3 linked regions of the Arabidopsis thaliana genome follow. The protein of the gene in region 3 purifies or fractionates together with the protein of the main gene of each other region. This does not show direct contact. Each region holds a gene or a part of one and is shown on either strand. Other genes may lie near its edges.

What was found.
Region 1: the proteins of AT3G23620 (region 3) and AT5G28060 fractionate together in Arabidopsis thaliana (co-fractionation; one large-scale study listed by BioGRID). This does not show direct contact.
Region 2: the proteins of AT3G23620 (region 3) and AT1G80750 fractionate together in Arabidopsis thaliana (co-fractionation; one large-scale study listed by BioGRID). This does not show direct contact.

The regions. Positions count from the first base shown.
Region 1 is NC_003076.8:10,068,470-10,074,846, forward strand, and holds AT5G28060 (Ribosomal protein S24e family protein), read right to left. Parts: upstream 2,431-6,377; 5' UTR 2,324-2,430; coding exon 2,252-2,323; intron 2,009-2,251; coding exon 1,967-2,008; intron 1,858-1,966; coding exon 1,687-1,857; intron 1,536-1,686; coding exon 1,449-1,535; intron 1,352-1,448; coding exon 1,322-1,351; 3' UTR 971-1,321; downstream 1-970.
Region 2 is NC_003070.9:30,345,996-30,352,372, forward strand, and holds AT1G80750 (Ribosomal protein L30/L7 family protein), read left to right. Parts: upstream 1-2,674; 5' UTR 2,675-2,886; intron 2,887-3,036; 5' UTR 3,037-3,056; coding exon 3,057-3,242; intron 3,243-3,593; coding exon 3,594-3,691; intron 3,692-3,788; coding exon 3,789-3,926; intron 3,927-4,030; coding exon 4,031-4,133; intron 4,134-4,220; coding exon 4,221-4,439; 3' UTR 4,440-4,569; downstream 4,570-6,377. Other genes in the region: CMT1 (chromomethylase 1), read left to right, coding at 1-83, 173-216, 316-385, 476-579, 683-836; AT1G80745 (Transcription factor TFIIIC, tau55-related protein), read left to right, coding at 1,719-1,802, 1,881-1,931, 2,028-2,079, 2,205-2,326; NIP6;1 (NOD26-like intrinsic protein 6;1), read right to left, coding at 4,645-4,837, 4,917-4,978, 5,056-5,250, 5,457-5,681, 5,778-6,020.
Region 3 is NC_003074.8:8,477,241-8,483,617, reverse strand, and holds AT3G23620 (Ribosomal RNA processing Brix domain protein), read right to left. Parts: upstream 3,594-6,377; 5' UTR 3,472-3,593; coding exon 3,403-3,471; intron 3,215-3,402; coding exon 3,011-3,214; intron 2,705-3,010; coding exon 2,459-2,704; intron 2,346-2,458; coding exon 2,103-2,345; intron 2,021-2,102; coding exon 1,955-2,020; intron 1,862-1,954; coding exon 1,745-1,861; 3' UTR 1,396-1,744; downstream 1-1,395. Other genes in the region: DSPTP1 (dual specificity protein phosphatase 1), read right to left, coding at 3,967-4,082, 4,219-4,364, 4,476-4,596, 4,700-4,835, 4,936-5,101, 5,337-5,338.

The sequences.
Region 1 (6,377 bases), on a different chromosome or scaffold from region 3:
GTTATAGGGAGTGATGATACTTAGACTTGTCGGAAATTTATCACGTGTTTGGAGACTGAAGCTGCAAATGGTTGTCTTAAGATGAATAGTTGAAAAATATTAAGTTGAAAAAAATTGAATTGAATATTATTCAACATGTTCCTCTACAAAAATGTAGTTGAATGAGTTGAACATTTTTGCTGCAGAATTTGTTCAATTTTTCAGTTTTTAAAGTTGAATGGGTTGAATCATTTTTTAACTCCTTCATCTCAAATGGTAAAAACTAAGATGAATGCTCATTCAACTCTTTAAACTTCTTCATTTAGGTCAACCATTTGCAGCCTAAGGGTTAAACGATGACCTTTTTGATCGGTTTATGTTCAGTTTTGCTTAAATAGGTGATAAAAAAGTTTTTTCTTATTATTATAAATGGAGAGGTTTGAGTTCTTAACTTAGACCATCTCCATTGATTAGAGACTGTGAAAGTCTCTCCAAAATAATATTTTAATGTAATTTAGTTTTTGATTTAATTTTTAATTCATGAAAAAATAAACTAATTGATATATAACACATGACATAATGAACTTCTCATCGTTTTTCTCCTCTCTTATACTTTTTCTATTCTTTTAATATTATTTTGGTAGAAATATCTAATTCTTATAAAAAAGTTTATATAACTTTTCAATAAACATATTCACTATCTAGTATTTGTAAATCAATATCTAGTTCTTATAAATCAATATCTAGTATTTTACATGTTAAGTCTCCCAAATGGGTTCCTTACTTCCTTCTTGTAAAATCCCTAAATTTTTCCAATGGTTTTTCGGTTTAACATGAGACAAGGAAACATCTATTTTGCTTATTTAGATTGTTGTATCCGTCATCGATGTTGCGTTGGTGGAAAATGATAAACCTTTGAATGGTTCATTGATATACATTTGAAAATGCAGAAAGTTGAGTTCTTTAGAATATTGCAGTCAAAAATAGAATTCCCCTGTGAAACCAGAACGTAGTCTTTTTTTCTTTATTCTCATGACAACTAATGAATTTCAAGTAGAATCCAACTTTTAATCTTGTGGTATGTGGTAGCAAAAATTGAAAAGTTGAACAATAGTCTCAATCTCCGAAACGCAAGAGGATGAAGTTTAAAATCAATGTATTCAAACAAAATCTTAACCACATGTTTCTCTAAAACAAGATCCAAACCAAAATAGAGCAAGTGTGACAAAAAGAAGCACAAAATCGAGAAATAATTAGAAGATGTCTAATAGCAAACATGGCTTCAAAGAAGGAGTGATGCAGAACAAAAACCATATTGCTGCTTTTGTCCTCTTCAAACGTCTTACTTCTTCTTGGTATCACCAGCCTTGGTCTACACTCACAAAACAATGCAAATATCGTTAAGACAAAACAGGCACAAACATAACAATAGCAAATGTAGATTTCTGGTTAGTGTTGGTCTCTCTTACCTTCTTAACACCACGGATCTTCTTCGCCCTGTTCTTCCTCTCCTTGATCTGTTTCCTTGATTTCTCAATCTTGGTGTCAAGTCCATTCTGTCAATCACATCAACAATCATTTCAGTATGAGATTGCAACACCATTGTTTCATCGCAAAGCAGTGAAAATCAAAGCACCAAGAGTAAGCTAGACTAAAAACTAGAACCAAAAGTTTTACTTAACTATCAAACAAGTAAAGAGAAATTACCCTGATAAGTCTGTACTTAGGCTCAAACTTCTTAGCGTTCTCGACAGTATCATAGATCAAACCATATCCAGAAGATTTACCACCTCCAAAGTGAGTTCTGAACTTGAAACAGAAGATAGCATTTGGGTCCTTAACCTCATACATCCTCGCCAATTTCTCCTTAAGCTCAGCCTTCAAACAAGTAAAGCCCCACCCAGTACACAACATCACTAAGAAACAATACACAACTGCACAAGCTTGGATTGTAATCAACACAAGCCAATGTACGTAAAGAACATACCTTTGAAACATTGGCTCTTCCAGGATGAAGAACATCAATAACCTACATTAATTGATTCAAAATCTGATGATTAATACTCCAAATGCAACATCGAAATGAATCCAAATACTAAACATCAAACCTAAAAGTTGCAAAATTCAAAATTTCCTCTAGCAATACATCAAAATGATCAATGAATCTGTTCTTATAAGATTGTTTCTACCTAAACTATAGTTTTTATCATTCGATACAGCGAAGACGTAACACTGTGAGATTGCAAAATGGAACATAGAGATGGGAACTCACGAATTGCTTTCTGGCGAGAAGCCTGTTGGTCATGAAGTTTCTGGTCCTGATAGTGACAGCTTTTTCCGCCATGGCTGCGATTTACTTTCCGAGATCAGTCTCTGAGCTCCGGTTTTGAAAATCGACGAGTTTCGCAGCGGCTTTGGAAGGAGGAGCACACTAAACCCTAGATTATTTATATATAGCTCTCTTTCAGATTATTAGGGTTGGTTTCGTTTGATGGGCCGAATTTAATTGGGCCTTACAATATCCATGCCCAGAGAATAGATTAGTTTGTTTCGGGTTTGATATACAAAGACAAAACAATTGTCTATTTTGATCATTCATGTTATAAAAACATACTTTCATATTTTATTTGATTAACGAACGACAATATCATTGTATACTGTATAATTATTTCTAATCTTTTGTTTACTTATTTTTGATTTTTATTTTCTAGAAATTTTCTTTTAATTAATTTAATTCAAATAAACATATATATTATAAATTGATTAGCTGCAAGAAGTTTTTAAAGTTTTTCCATGTGTTTATGTCAATTAAATGAAAAATATTTAAGAGGAAGCTACATGGCATAAGACAAATTGCAATCACATCTTCTCTCGATTCTTTTCATTTCAACCAAAACAATCATATGTCATCCTTCAATCCTAGCATATATTACCACGTCATAACGATTCTACACAAATTGTCATGTTAGAGCAGGTCCATTGGGGATTGAAAATTTCTTATCAAGAATCCTTAGCAAAATAAGACAAAATTTAAATGAAACATGTGATATAAACTTACGAACGACCTAAGCTTAGAGTTTTTTTTGGTGTTAAGGTTCGATGACGTGTCCATTTCTCATTGGACGCGTGTTTTGACAAAACAATATTTTTTTTTCAGTTGCCTGTGGTTTTTCTCATTTCTGGATATCTCTATTCTCTTCTTTGGTGCGATGGCGATTGAACGGTCTCTGATGATCATCAGCCTCACGCGTTCATGTTCATCAAATCGGAAGAGAATATCAACGAAATTCGTCTCTTATCCACTGTCCTCATCATCTCAACCGACGGTGGTCAACATGGACGAGTTTGGTGAACCAAATCGGAGAGAAAACGTGCATAAATTGGAGATTTGTGTCAAGCCATGGTCCAATCAAATTCTGAATATATAGATCTAACAATTTAATTGTGTATATCGGGATTAATTAGGGTTATTGTTAGATTTTATCAAAATTAGGGTTTCCTGAATAGGGAATTTTAGAAGATAAATTAGGGTTAATTGATGGTAATTGTTGACATTTCTAAGACAAGAATAGATTGATACTCATTGAGCTTATTAGAAGAGAAATTGAATAGCTCATGAAAAGCTTTATTGTGCAAAGAATCTAAAGAGAGAGAGAGAAGCTTTAAGATTGTCTAGAAGAACAAAAATGATTTTGATTGTGATTCATATAAATGTTTGAGGGTGACTGCTCAGAGAGGCAGCCTTGGTTACATGACAACATCATAGATATATATATATATATATATATATCTTATTATATAAAGTACGGAGTTACTAACTCACGAGATCATGACACGTGTCAGGTCTATCATTGAGATGTTGACATATGTTAAAAAAAAGTTTCTTTAAAAAAAAAAAAACATATTTACATATACTAATTTATAGTTCTATATCTAAAAAATTTAACTTATAATTTTTTTAATTAAAAAGGAAAACTAACAATAAGATGAAGTGTATAGAATTAAATTTTATTTGTATTGAAAAATTGGATTGTATTTGAATTGTATACAATCGAACTAAATTGTATTGTATTATGATAAAAAAGATATTTAAATTGTATTGTAAAATCGAATTTGTAAGATTGAAATTTAGTTTAAGGAAATACTAAATTAAATACTGAAAAATATGAGTTACAATTTAAAATTCAAATATCATCAATAAGTTGGAGTGTATAAAATTAAAAAGCAGTTTATTATGATGAAAGAGATAGTTAAAATGTATAGTAAAATTGAATGTGTATGATTGAAATTTTATTTAATTCAAAAATTACTAAATTAAATATTAGAAAAAGTGTGTGGATCACTATTTACTATTCAAATTTTAAATATTATCGATAAATATTTGAATAAATTTATATCTTTTACCCGCCTATTTAGGCGGGCCTTATCTAGTATATATATATATGAGAACTCTTAGTACAAAACCTAATAACATGGGCATAGATGGACTTCTCTAATAATCATTTCTTGGGCTTCTATGTTTGCTCTAATACTTCCCCGCAAACTTAGCAGCGGGTGTGAAAACGACGTTGTTAAGTTTGTCTTAGATGATCGAAGAGCTTGATTTTCAGTGCATGATCTAATGAAGGCACATAATCTATGTGTGCTCTTATCTTCTCGAATCAGTCTCAATTTTGAACCCAGCAAATATGAAGGATTATTAGCAGCAATATGAGACCAAGAAACATGCACTTCACAAGATTCACTTCATGTCTTGAAAGGATCTAGATTTTGTATCTTCAGAGGTAGCAATAAAAGTTTCTGGCTAATTCGGATGGCTTGACTTGGGTGAGACAACATATGTAGCAAGATACAAAATCAAGATCACTTGGATGTAGATAGCAGCATCTCTTCACCACAAAATCAGACATTAGTGTGAGAACTTTTAAGGTTCTTTTGACCTATTTGTCTCACGAAGAGTCCGTGTTTTCTTTACCTCGTTTAACTCCCCTAAGCTGTCCCATGTAAAAGAAGAATTCTCTTCCCACAACTACTTAGATCCTACTTGCTATCTGCTAAATATGACAAGAATAGATTGATGCTCATTGAGCTTATTAGAAGAGAAATTGAATAGCTCATGAAGAGCTTTATTGTGCAAAGAATCTAAAGAGAGAGAGAAGCTTTAAGATTGTCTACAAAAACAAAAAAAAATTCGATTGTGATTCGTATAAATGTTTGAGGGTGATTGCTCAAAGAGGTAGCCTTGGTTACATTAATCCATAACATACATTACATATATATATGAGAACTCCTAGTACAAAACCTAATAACATGGGCTTAGATGGCCTTTAACCCTTTCTCTAATCATCTTTCAAGCTTTTTGAAACTCCTAACTAGTCAACAAGATAATCAAACCATTCCACCAATTTAGTATGAACGTTTTTCACCTACCATAGAACTTGTATCATCTTACGTCCATGTTTTATGTTTGTTCTTAATGTTGGTTTCTTGTGTTTATTTGCTCTTACTGTAGGTTTCTTATCTTGTGTCTGCAGGTGGTCGACGATATCACTTGTGCAAAGAAGAAACGACACAGAGACCCATTTGCACTCGTTTGGTTTGACATCACTATCACTTATGTTTGTTGCTCTTTTATTTTGTATCACTTTTGTTTGTTACCCTTTTGGCTCCGAATGGAGAAAGCTTATCGGGCGGAGCGGATCAAGCGGATCAAGCTGAACAAAAGCGGATTAAGCAGATCAAGCGGATATAGCAGTATAACTGTGGATCAAACGAAATTAGCGGTCCAAATAAAGATTTGAATGGTGAAAGCGGATCAATATTGTAGATCATATTATATAATATTTAATTATAAATTAAATGATAAATAAAGTAAATATATCTATTTAATAATTATTAAAACATTAAAAAATATATTTCAAATACAACATCAAAAATAGATTCAAATCTATTATTTTGATTTTTCCATAACTTATAAAGAAGAAGATTTAACAACTATTAAGATTGGGATAGATTCAAATCTATTATTTTGATTTTTCCATAACATATAAAGAAGAAGATTTAACAACTATTAAGATTGGAAAAGTGGAAGAAGTGAAGAACTATGGTTTCGTAGAGTTGGAGGCGGAGAGAAGTCGAGAAAGTGAAACCCAATATTAGGGTTAATGAAGCATTAATGACAACAATCAAGGCCTATTAGGTTTACTAAAGGATCTGCGCGTCTGTGAAACAGGTGGTTCAGGATGCGGCTCGGATCGGCTTTAAAACGCAGGAAGAATTACGATTTTACCCTTAATTGTCTGTTTTTTTCTTTTTCCTGTAACGTAAAATGAAAAAACGGCTTATGTGGCTTGTCATTTTGCCATAACATCACCATCAACTGTATCTAAAGCTTCCAT
Region 2 (6,377 bases), on a different chromosome or scaffold from region 3:
ACATGCCTGGTGTTTTAGTTCACAACAACAAAGCGGAAATTAATCCTAGGTTTCGAGCAAAGTTGAAATCTGGAAAAAATGTGGTATAAAATAAACCACTCGCAACCTTATCATTTTTCTGCTCTAGTTTCTTTTTGCACCTTCTATATGACATGTCTTTTGGTTTTCACAGGTCCCTGCTTATGCAATTTCATTCATAAAAGGAAAATCAAAAAAGTGAGTTTCTCCAACTAATATGCTTCTTGTGGATCCTCTTTCCATAACGTAAGAATGTTAAATTCATTAAAAGTAACACATCTGTTATCTGAATTTCAGGCCGTTTGGTAGACTTTGGGGTGATGAAATCGTTAACACTGTTGTGACAAGGGCTGAACCTCACAACCAGGTAAGCCCTTTTGCTTTCATTTCCCATGTGTCTGGGTACGTTCCACTTAGAATTCTCTAGTGGCTGGTTTATTAAAACTGGTTGATGCAGTGTGTAATCCATCCAATGCAAAACCGTGTGTTGTCTGTTCGTGAGAATGCGAGATTACAGGGGTTCCCTGATTGTTACAAGCTCTGTGGAACAATTAAGGAAAAGTAAGTCCTTGGTTCTTGCTGCTTTTCTATCTATGTATATGATTGTTTTTAAACTGGAGATCCTAATGTATGTAAAAACTGGGTTTGAATCTAAATTTTGTAGGTACATCCAGGTTGGGAATGCTGTGGCAGTTCCTGTAGGGGTTGCATTAGGATATGCCTTTGGTATGGCGAGTCAAGGACTGACGGATGATGAACCAGTAATCAAGCTGCCATTCAAGTATCCCGAATGCATGCAGGCAAAGGATCAAATCTGATTGACAGTCTCCATCAAGTCGTCATGATGAAACTATCTTTAGGAATCATACTTCATTTTCTAGACTTTCTTTTAATTTTTTGGGTTAGCAAGAGCTATATGCTCAAACAATGGCGGCTTAAACTGTCTAGCTCTTTCTTGTTGGTTTATCTTTGACTTTATAATCATTTGGAACCATTTTATTTCTTATGATTTTTAATCTCAAGATTTCAAATTCTATTGCGTAGACTTCAATCCTACGTGATGCCATCCAACAAGAATTAAGACCAAGCAAAAGACAGACAAAACCTGTTATTGAGCATCCGAGGTGCTAGGTACGTCCGTGATCTCTCGACGAACATTGGTTCGATTTTGCGTAATTCAGTTGCCACCGACCGACCGAAACTCTGGTCAATGATCACCACTTACCAGCTTTTATTAGTGTTATTCATTCATTCGCAAAAGCTAAGTAAATTCGAAGGCAGTTAGGCCCACAAGCCCATATAATGGTGAAAGATTTGGTTCACCCAAATAATGTCCCCACTCCTTCGGTTGGGCTTTTACGTTATAATATTCGGCCCAAATTTGATATCTCATAACAGAGCAAATTTTTCACATAGAAGAAGCAGAGAAACCAATTGATCTACTTTTTTTTTTTTTTTGTTTCTTCCTCTTCATCAGGCTTGTTCTTCGATTCCCTCACTTAAAGAAGGGTTTCGAATTTGCTCGAAAGATTGAAAGGAAAAAAAGAAAGAGGTGAACCATTCTCAACATAAATTTGTTGTTTAGGAGATGTAAGAATGATAATTTCTTGGATCTAATCGCGTTCAGAAAGTGAGAAAGTTTTAGGATTCATAAATATCTTTGTGTTCTTCTCCACCCTAATAAACACATTGATACAGAGATGGAGGATGAACATGTTATGATTGATCTTGATGACGTTTCAAGGCACATTGACATTCCAGCAGATGCTCCTTATACTTTATCAGTTAGTTCAATCCAATTCTTTCATTTCACTTTTTGCATTCTCTTGTTTTATAAGTTTGGTTTTGTTTGGTTCTCATAGGGTTTGGATACTTTGAATCCGGTGTTGACCATAGATGGCAAAATGAAGCTGGTAATTCTCTTACTTGCAACTAGTACAATTTTCCAAGTTCAGTTACTCTTTTTGCTTAAACCATTCTTAATCGTGTTAGATTTGATGATCTCTCAGGTAGGAGAATATATAGCAACGATTGGTACATGCCTTGCTTTCTCTGACAAAGGTTAGTTTCACTTTTCCTCTTTATTATCAAACATGGAAACACATGTTATTGTTTCAAGTAATTATTCTGTCCCTTCAAGATGCTGATTTGGGGTTGCGGTTTCTTCATTTGTCTGTTTGCACAAGGTGATAACCAGACGCCACAGAAGAAGACAGTTGAACCTGTTGCCAAACTCCACAAGATTCTCAAGTTTAGGTTAGCACCATTAGACAACGAAGATGGAGTAACAAAAACAACCAATTTGTAAAAGTTTTTCTCTTGTTCAAGTCATTGGAAACCTGACTTTTCTTCAAAGATCATATTAAAAAAAAGAACTATAACAATAACCGACAGATTATATATGTAGCTAAGGCACATGCAGCATCTTCCTTTGTTGGCCTCTTGAAAGTAGCAATCAAACTAAGACCAAACCAAAAGGTAACTAAACGATTCACAACTTCAACGTACGTTTTCATGATTTGTCCTTCTGATGATGTCAATAAAATAAAAACTGAATTGAATCAACCAGTGATGGAGAAATTATGCATCCCATGTAATTAAAAGAAACAAAATCACACAAGATATTATAAAATAAAACTAGGTATATTCAAAGGCAGTAAGGCCTTACATAAGCCCATAAATATTGGGCTTTTTTAGCCCAATAGTATTATGAGTCTGGCCCGGAGCGTAATTAGGTCTGGTGGCAAAGTTGTTAATAACACAAAAGAGATTTTAGTTAATAAACCCTAGGCTTCTCAAATCGGCCATTGCTACCAACTTCGACTTGGAATTCTTTCAGCCGCCGTCCCAATTGCTTTGCCGCCACCGGTAAATTTGTTCCCCCTTTTCCGTTCTTCTTATCTTGTTCATTCTGTTGGTGTCCCTATAGCCTCACTTTCTTATAGGGTTGAGTTCAGTCTCTGTTTATAAACTTTTTTCGCAAAAAAATTCAATCTGACAATCTGTTTTGTGTTGTAGAAGCAAAGAGTAGAGAGATAATGGCTGAGGAAGAAGCTAAGGGTTTGGATTACATACCGGAGATAGTACTGAAGAAGAGGAAGAACAGAGATGAGCTTGCCTTTATCAGGAAGAAGCAACTTGAGTTGGGTAATTCCGGCAAGAAGAAGAAGAAAGTCTCTGATATCAAACGTCCTGAAGATTTTGTTCATGAGTTCAGGGCTAAGGTACACTTCTTTTTTTCCAGATTCTCTGAAAAACTTTTGCTTTGTCTTTTTCCATTCGTTTTACTGCCTCAAGTTCTGATTTTTGCTTCTTGACTTTTGTCTACACCTTAGAAGAACTTGTTTTTGCTTATTCTTTGAGTTAAATTAAAGCTATACATCAACCTTTATGATTAGGTTTTGTCACTTATCTCTTAGACTGTAACTTTTCTACAGATAATTTTGTGTTTCTCCTTTGAGATTTCTCCCTAGTTTTGCAAGGTTGTGCTTAGGACTTGTTGTTTCTTCTGTCAATCCTGCATTGTTCTCTGTAATTTAACTGTTCCCTTTTTGCTAATTTTATCCCTACTTAAGGAAGTAGATATGATCCGGATGAAGCAAAGAGTAAAGAGGCCAAAGTCATCTCCTCCACCAGTTAAATCTGACCTGGTTTTCATCATACGCATTCAAGGGTATTTGATATTCTCCAATTAGCTTTGTTTTCCCCCTGGAGTTTTAATCTTTATCTCTGCCTGTTTCTTATCCTTGCCTTTTCTTTCTGGTGACCAGCAAGAATGATATGCACCCAAAGACCAAGAGGATTCTTAACAATTTGCAACTAAAGAGCGTCTTTACTGGTGTATTTGCTAAAGCAACTGACAGTTTGTTCCAAAAGCTTCTCAAAGTGCAGCCTTATGTCACTTATGGGTACGTAGAGACAATCAATCCTCTTTCAATATTTCCTTGTTACTCGATTTCCATGCTGTTTCTCTATTCTCGTATGAGCTAACCGATGTTTACGATTCTTGAAGATACCCGAATGATAAGAGTGTTAAGGACCTTATATACAAAAAGGGATGCACAATCATTGAGGGAAATCCTGTTCCTCTTACCGACAACAATATAATCGAACAGGTAAAATTTCCTACTCTTAAAAGTATAGGAGCTTATTCCAGATAATAACCATGCTGTTCTTAATCGTTTCCACTTTTGTTACCTTAGGCTCTAGGAGAACACAAAATCTTGGGCATAGAAGACCTTGTGAATGAGATAGCAAGAGTCGGAGATCATTTCAGAGAAGTTATGAGATTCTTGGGACCCTTGAAACTCAACAAGCCTGTGGCTGATGTTTTGCACCGGAAGAAACAAGTTTTCAGCGAAGGAGGAGATACCGGAAACCGCGAAGATAAGATCAATGATCTCATCAGCAAAATGAATTAGAAGCAGCAATCGTTGTAATCGCTAGCTACTTACTATATTTTCCTTAAAAGATCTGTACGAGGCTAAAAACCAACCATTTTGATGAAACACTTGCAATTTTGGTTAAAGGGCATTCCAAATTTTATAAGCATCGTCGACTTCAGATATTATATTATACACATATATTTATGTGATGTAAACAGAGTAATATAGAAGCGAGTGTTTTTCATCTTCTGAAGCTCCTCCTCTCTTTGGGTGCTTCATCTTCCTCTGGCAACTTGACAATTGTGTATGTACCTGCTCCGATTAACGCTCCAAGAATGGGGGCAGTGAGGTAAACCCAAATAGCTCTGTAATTGTTTGCTGCAATGGCTGGACCCAGTGTTCTTACAGGGTTCATCGAAGCAGAAGTTGCAGGTCTGTTGGACACAACATCATGATCAGTAACATGTATTATTATGTACAAGAACTGAATTCAAGAAATGATGGTTTATTTACCCAGCTATAAGTATGTTAAGCATGACCGTTGCTCCTACGGCAATTCCCGCCAACTCTCCCACCTGTAATCTTGTGATTAGTTTTCATTGACGTCCAAAATTTCAAGACTCTTCAAAAACGTTTTTTATAAGTAATTTACAGCTCTCGTGTCGGTGGCTACGGCTGTGACAACGAACATGAGGTTGAAGCTGATAATGAATTCCAAGGCGAAAGCTTGGCTGAGACCCACCGTCGGCACCGTCACGCCACCGCTCATCGTTGGTTCAAACACTGCTTTCAGTGCAAACGCCGCACTCACGGAGGCCATCACCTGAGCTCCGATATACACCGGCACCTAACATAAATTTAGACACCAACATTATTATTTTTATAACAATTATATAGAACCCCTTTTATATGATCAGATTTTATATATACTTTTATTACCCATGTTAAAATTCAATTCATAATACAACATGCATGTGCATGTCTATAGATTTCATGTGGTTCTCTCAGTAACATCCAAAAATGTGTTAAAACAAATAAGATTAAACTACTGACGTGTTTCCAAGGGAAGTGTTTGAGAGCAGCAAAGGCAATGGTTACAGCCGGATTGAGATGTGCCCCGGAGATGTGACCGGTCGATAATATAACGATCATAACCGCCAAACCAGCCGAGGCGGCGCAACCAATAAGCGTCTCAGCTCCATCTGTCTTCTGGTTCACGATCGCCGTCGCTGTTCCGGCGAATATCAGGATCAATGTCCCAACAAACTCTGCTCCCAACTTTACAAGCACATATATGTACTGGTTCAATGCTCAGTGAATTGGAAACATGATTTATATGGAGTGTACTTGTAATGAGAATGTGTACATATGTACCTTGCGGTAGAGGGAAACGTTAGGGGGAGGGAGAGAGCAAGTGACCGGAGGGAGTCTTCCATCTTCAAGAGCCCATTCATTGTCAACACTGAAACATTTGCAGCTTTTGAGAAGTGACTTTGGTGTGTATCTACCATTGTGTCCATTCCTCTTCCCTTCGAATCCTCCAAAGAGCGGCGCTCCTGGAGTCCCCGGGGTTGTCGCCGGCGTTGAGGGCGTGGATGGAATTTCCTCATGATCCATGTCGAGGGTAGAGATAGATGAGATCTAATTAATTTGAGGATATATGTTTTTGCTATGATTGTTTTTATGTGATGTAGAACTAAGGGATGCGTAGGGTACGGTATTTATAGAGGAAGGCATGAGAGTTGACTTATGAGTGAAGGACCCAAAATAGATGATTGATATTTGGTTGGAGTGAGGAGTAAGTGGGTTGGTAATCCTTAGTTTTAATGCATGTGTCCTAAGGAAGACTCTTTACATAACATGAAATGTTGCTATCTTTATGAGAATGGGTCGTGTATTGTATCTTTCATATTTCTATTTACATGATACATGTATCGTGTACTAAAGAAGCTTTTGAGATGGAGCAATAATTGT
Region 3 (6,377 bases):
ATTATTTTATTGTTTTGGTCAAACCCTCTTCTAATTATTTAAGCTACTAATTAATATTGGTTATTCATGTATCAAATTAACACCAACAATCATTCTATATCTTATTGTGAAAGAAAAAAGGACTTGTAGTGGAAGTAATATTCATGCTAGTACTGATATTGTCAGCCGATGTTAGTGATAATCCGGACGATGGAAGATCCATTATACAAGAAAATATTATATATTACACCTAATAAAGATGTCTTAAACTCCCGGAAAAAAAACAAAATCTGATGATAAGAAAATAGTATTACCACAAGAAGTCGTTGCTTATGTTGCTCTGAGCGTGCGGATTTGGCATCATTAACGAGTCAAAAGTTAAAATTTGTTATATAGTTGAAACATATGTGGGAATGGTGATGATGAAATGATGATGGTGATGGTAATAAACTAACCATTTGTTTAAGGCGTATGAATTTTAAAACTTTTACTGCTAAATTAATTATCTTGCAAGAGATTCTTAAGAATTGGAGTATTTGCTAAGAAATGGCAATCGTTATAATAGATGTTTTGGATTCTACTATTTGTTCCACCAAGATAGTTTTTTCAAGTTCATATACAAATTTATATGATAATATAACATATTGTCATTTACTTATAAAGCGTATATCTATGTTGCCATTTGACTTCACAATTTTTTAAAGCAGAACCTACGTGCAAATTTTTTTTTGTCAACACGTAAAAAGTATTAATTAATTTGATCAAATCGGTGTATATTTTAGTTTTTTCAATGGAGATGGTCAGATGGGTCAATTGTTTGCTAGTGACCACAGATCGTGTACAACGGGTACTGTCGGTACGTGCATGCATTGAGTCCGAAACTTGGTAATCAAAATGGACTGTCTTTCACGCGTATAGAAAAAAATAACAATGTTGTAAACATCATAATTAATGATATTTTATTTCTGTCACATGTTATTTGATTTTTTTTTTTTTTTTTTTCATTTTTCCAACATTAAATCCATTGATGATAACTATAGGATAATCTATGCATTGAAGTTCCTCGAAATCCACAAGACGAACTTCTCATTTCCTTAATTGATTCTAGTCATGCATACAAATTAACATTCGGTGATAGATGCAAGATATACTATTTTAATCATTAGTTTCCTATGGTTTGGTTTGGAACATATAGTAAATAAAAACCATAAAGAATAATGATGAAGAAGAGTCCATAGGGGTAGGTTTCAATTATAGATAAGGTATAAGCCTAGTGTTGAAAGATTAAGACAGCTAACTGTATAAAAGCTTAATAATTAGGTTTGTAAACTCAACATGTATCAGTCATTATCATTTAAAAGTTGGTAGGTAAAAAAATACACGAAATAATCATCATGGTCAGCTTCATTTTCATAAGTAAGATATCACTAAGAGATGGTAGTTAAAAGAGGTAAAAAAGTTGTTGGTAAGACAGTGATACAGGCAAAAATTGTGGTCTCATTCAACACGGGAAAAAAGTTGCTGTCTTACGCATGTACTGCAGTAGGAAACAGAGATAGACAAAAATGTGTTTTTATCATATCCAGTTTCTGTTGCTGCAGAGTTTTAACAAAACAAAATCACCTTAATAAAATATTAGCGTATAGAAAACATTCAGTTATAGATTCTAATGGAAAAATAAAAGTCAAGCTCATTACACTACAAAATCATTTCATCTTCCACATATTGAAAGCTGTTGATGCAGAGCCAAGAGTGGTCTGTTGAGTCACTCAGAAGACACCTTCATCTTTTTGGCAACAGTCTCTTCCTTATGCTTAAGCTTAGCGTCTTTCCGCTCTCTCTTCGATCCCTTAGATTTATCGAACAGTTTCATTTCTTTCAGCTGCACAAAGATCGAAAACATATCAGTTTGGGATGATAATAAAAATAATAATCTCCAGATTCGGATATTGGCGTTTATCGCTTTCTTTCTTACCTTCTGATCAGGCATATAAATCTTCCCAGTCTTCCCTAGTACTGCATCTTGATCAACGTTTTTCTCCTGTAGAAGAAGAGATTGATTGATTAGTCATCTGTCTCTTTCGATTTTAAGAGAAATATTAGACTTTTATGTTGTTTAGTACCTTCTTCTTAGGCTTATCCTTGGATGTTCTCATTGCTTCTTTCATTAAGCTATCGTTAGGAAGACGATTACGCCTGATAACCAAGTCCATGGATGGACCGACTTCAACAAGCTCCATTCTCGGAACAATGGATCCTGACTTTTTAAGCTTCAATGCGCAATGAGTAAGGAAAACCTTTGTTGGGGATATAGCTGAACATACGTAAGCGCGGTCTAAACCAGTAAGATTTAGATTATCCACAACCTGCAGACATATACAAATTCTGTTATAAGCCAAATCCATATAGAATCAGAATAAAATTGAAACTGGTTATGGAATTAGCTGCAAAAGTAGGTCATAAGAATCAAACACTTCACCTCGCCACGAAAAAGATCAGTGAGGACTTCTTTGAGATGCTTAAGCTCTGATACATTCTCAAAACCTTCACCAATAAAGCAAATGAAAGGCTTTGTTCCTTCATGAGGTGCGAATTTCTTGTCATACGAAAACGCCCGCAAGGATTTAAAGTTCTCAATCCCAACTTCTATAAGATCATAGACTTGGTGATCATACATTCTCCCAAGTACAAGATTGTCAGGTCGTTTCTTCGTGTGAGAACCATACTGCAATATAAAAACAATCACCAATGTTAGAACTCGCATCAAAGTTAATTTGCCAATACACCTTTCCAAATGACTTCTTAAGGCCTGTGATAACATCAGCCAATCATACCAATTTCCACCATAAATAAATACACATAGACTAACAAGACAGAAGCAGAGATGCCTTAGAATGAATCTAGATCACAGGATAGATCATCTTAATAACATTTTGTTCTATCTAGCAGTTCATAGCTAAGTTAAGAGGAGAATCAAAGTTGCAACACCATAAAACCAAGATGCAACAGCTGCCAAAGCTTATGAACTTACCACAAAAATGCTACAATCTGTTTTCTGAGAGAAGAACTCTAATGAAGTTTCACCTCCACTCTCGAAAGGCCTAATATTCTCATTCCTCCTTGAATATCTGATGGCACCTCCCTTCTTCAAACGGTAGAGTTCCGTCATTACAGAGCTAAGTGTAGCACTCGTCTTTGTTCCATGAAGTATCAACGTCTTCTTCCCAGTTTCAACCTACAAATTCCAAAAACAACCAATTCAGATACAAAGTTTGCAACTTTCAATCGATTCTTTGATAAATTTATCGACAAATAGAAAACCCATGAGTCTCATAGATGTCAAAACAACATTGAAGACAGCTCTCAACATGATTCACTTCTCGGTTTTAAGAAGGACGAAGGAGAAAAAGAAGAGAACTTTACCAACTTAGGAGCTCGGCTTTCGAGAACACGCTTGGCTTTGCCAGTCTTCGGAGTTCGTATTTCCATCATGACTCTGTTAAATCGCCGGAAAGTTTCACAAGCGACGGCTCCGAAAGAAGAGAGAAAGGTTTTTCGATTGATTGATATGGAGTCTAGGGTTTTAGTGCCTCCTCACAATTGGAAGCAACTTTAAGAGAATTCTAATATGACCCCTAACCTTATAAGTCTGTCCTAAATCACCCCACAGTTTTTTATTGACTATAAAACCCAATGTTTCACAAGGTCCATGAACTGTTTAAACTATACGGGCTCAAATTAAACAATGACAGCCCATGAACTTTTACACACAAAAAAGACATTTCATTGCGGTACAAAAAATTTACAAATTTTTATTTATGTTCACTTTTATATCCATGATGATGAAACTATACAAAACGAATAGAGAACATGAACATATTCCAAATTCGTTTCCATGTTATTATTCGAGTTGTTAAGGAGAAGAAACAACAAAACATTTTGATTGATGCTTCGTGTGAGATTTACAAGTTTCTCCCAATGGTACGATCAATGATCTTCACGCCTGACATTGTGCAATCGTAACTTGCTTCCCTGTTTTATAGAGAAGAAGGAAGATGCATGTAAGAGATATTTACATGGAACTGTCTTCTCCTCCACAACCACTTGCTTTTCATCCTCAAAAGGAAAAAAACTGGTCACTCACTACTGAATCAGACAGACAAAGTATCTCCAACTTAGATTCACCACAGAGATCTCAACCTAATAGTCTAGACCTCAAGATATTATAGTAAGGCATACCTTGCATAGACTTCTCGAGGTCTTGTAATTGTCTGATGAAACCAGCATTAGGACTTGCCACGGGTCTTTTGCTTTTAACATGTTGCAATGCTTGAGCTAAAGTCATACCGTGTTTCTTCATGAGGTAAGCAACAACTATAGTGACACTGCAAGTAAAAGGGACAAACCATCCAGGCTAAATATGTACTTAGTTTTGAATACTATCCAGCAAACAAGGCGAAAACCGCTAGATATTGAAGGAAGCAAACAAAACTGACCTCCGTGATTTGCCAACAAAGCAATGAACAAGAACACTACCGCCTTGTCTCTTGGCTTCATCAATGAAATCAACACACTCATCGAAGTACATTTCTAGATTTGTATCTTCCTTATCCACGACTATCACATAGAAAAACAATCAAACAAGCAATTCCATCCCAAAATCAAAAACATATTCTCTCTTCAACTAGATAACAAAGTGAAACCTTTAATAAGTTTATACCTCGAACAACCTTGTAAACAAAGTCATCAGGATGAGCTGGTCTCAACGAACTAGCAACAGTCAAAATATGTGTAACATTGTAAGATTTCAAAACATTCTTATTACTAGCTGCTGCAACAGATCCAAGATAAAGACCCTGAAAAAGTCAAATTCAACAAAAGGTTTGATCTTTGATAATGAATCATTGGTCATTTGGTTGGTAGAAAAAACCTATGAGTATTAGTAGTAGTAGTAACCTGTTCAATAAGGGAAGGGACATTGTCGTCTCTATAGGTACGAGCAACTTTAATAACACGAACAAGAGCTTGTATCTGATTCTTCACCTTTTCATTATACTTTTCTATTCCTGGTAACGAAGAAGATGACGAAGAAGAAGAAGGTGATCCTCTGTCTCTAGAACTCCTGATTTCATCGAATCAGAAAAAAGAAGAAGAGAGTTTACATATCAAGATCGTGATCATAGCAGCAAGAATCAAAATCAAAATCAAAATCCAGGTCACCGAAATAATGGAATCCGATTCTGATGAATGATCTTATAACCGAACAACGGTGAATCGAGAATTACGATTACAACGACGGAGTAGTGATTGGTTTAAGATCAAAAGAAGAATTCGATTATCAAGGAAGAAGAACTTACATTGGAAAAGAAGGAATACGAATTCGCCAAAGGAGAAAGAGATTTACAAAAAAAAAAAAACGAATCTTTGAAATGGGTTAAAGAGGAAATTGCAACTGCATGGTTCTCCAGGTTTTTTGGGGGAAGGAGGAGGAGGAGAGGGAAGGATGTGTTCAAAGAGGGCCAAATAGTAAAATTTCCTTTCTATCAGAAAAATCAGAAATGTTTTAACTTATTAGCTCAGTCCTTATATTATACTCAAAAATTTGTGTTTGGGATTTGTGCTTTGTAGGCTTGGTTTCCTGCTATTAGGCCCCCTGGATTAGTAAGAAGTAGTGTACTTGGCTGAAACTGAGGCAACGGTGTTGTGAATATGTCAGCAAAACTGTACAGAGGCAGAGATGTATCGAGTGATGATGATGTTGTTGTTAAAGACTGTTTGTTATTATGACGTAGTAGTAATCTACTTTAATGTTTTTTTCGAGGGCAGTAGAGCACAAATCTACTTCAATATAGTCCATCGAAGTTCGATATTTTACTTCGATAGACTATCTAATCAAAGCCGGTCTCGACGAGTTTCTCGGTTTCCATTTTGGTACGGTCTTTCCCATTCCTAGAAATTGTGCATGAACATGAAGTACTTCCTTGCTCACTTGATGCTGTCTTAGGCTTGTTTAGAAATAGGACCCTAATTGCTTTAAGAAATCTGACTAAAAAGTAATGGACAATGTACAAATGTACCCTCAGCACACCCTCTAAGCCCGGTCCTGGCACATATCGACGAGTTTGTCGGTTTCATTTTGGTATGGTTTGGTTTACCCACTCCTTGCTCACTTGTCTTAGGCTTGTTTAGAATTTGGGCTTATGGGCTTGGTTTGCTACGTCACCGTATACGTAACTTCGTCACCTCAAAAACTATGCGAGAAAGAGTGACTTAAGAAGCAACAAAAAGATAAACCAAAAACTATACGTTCTTCTTGTATGATGATGACGACATTGACTTTGAAACAGTGTTATCTAAAAACGATTTGATCGGAAATATCTAACAACGATTCAAGAAAA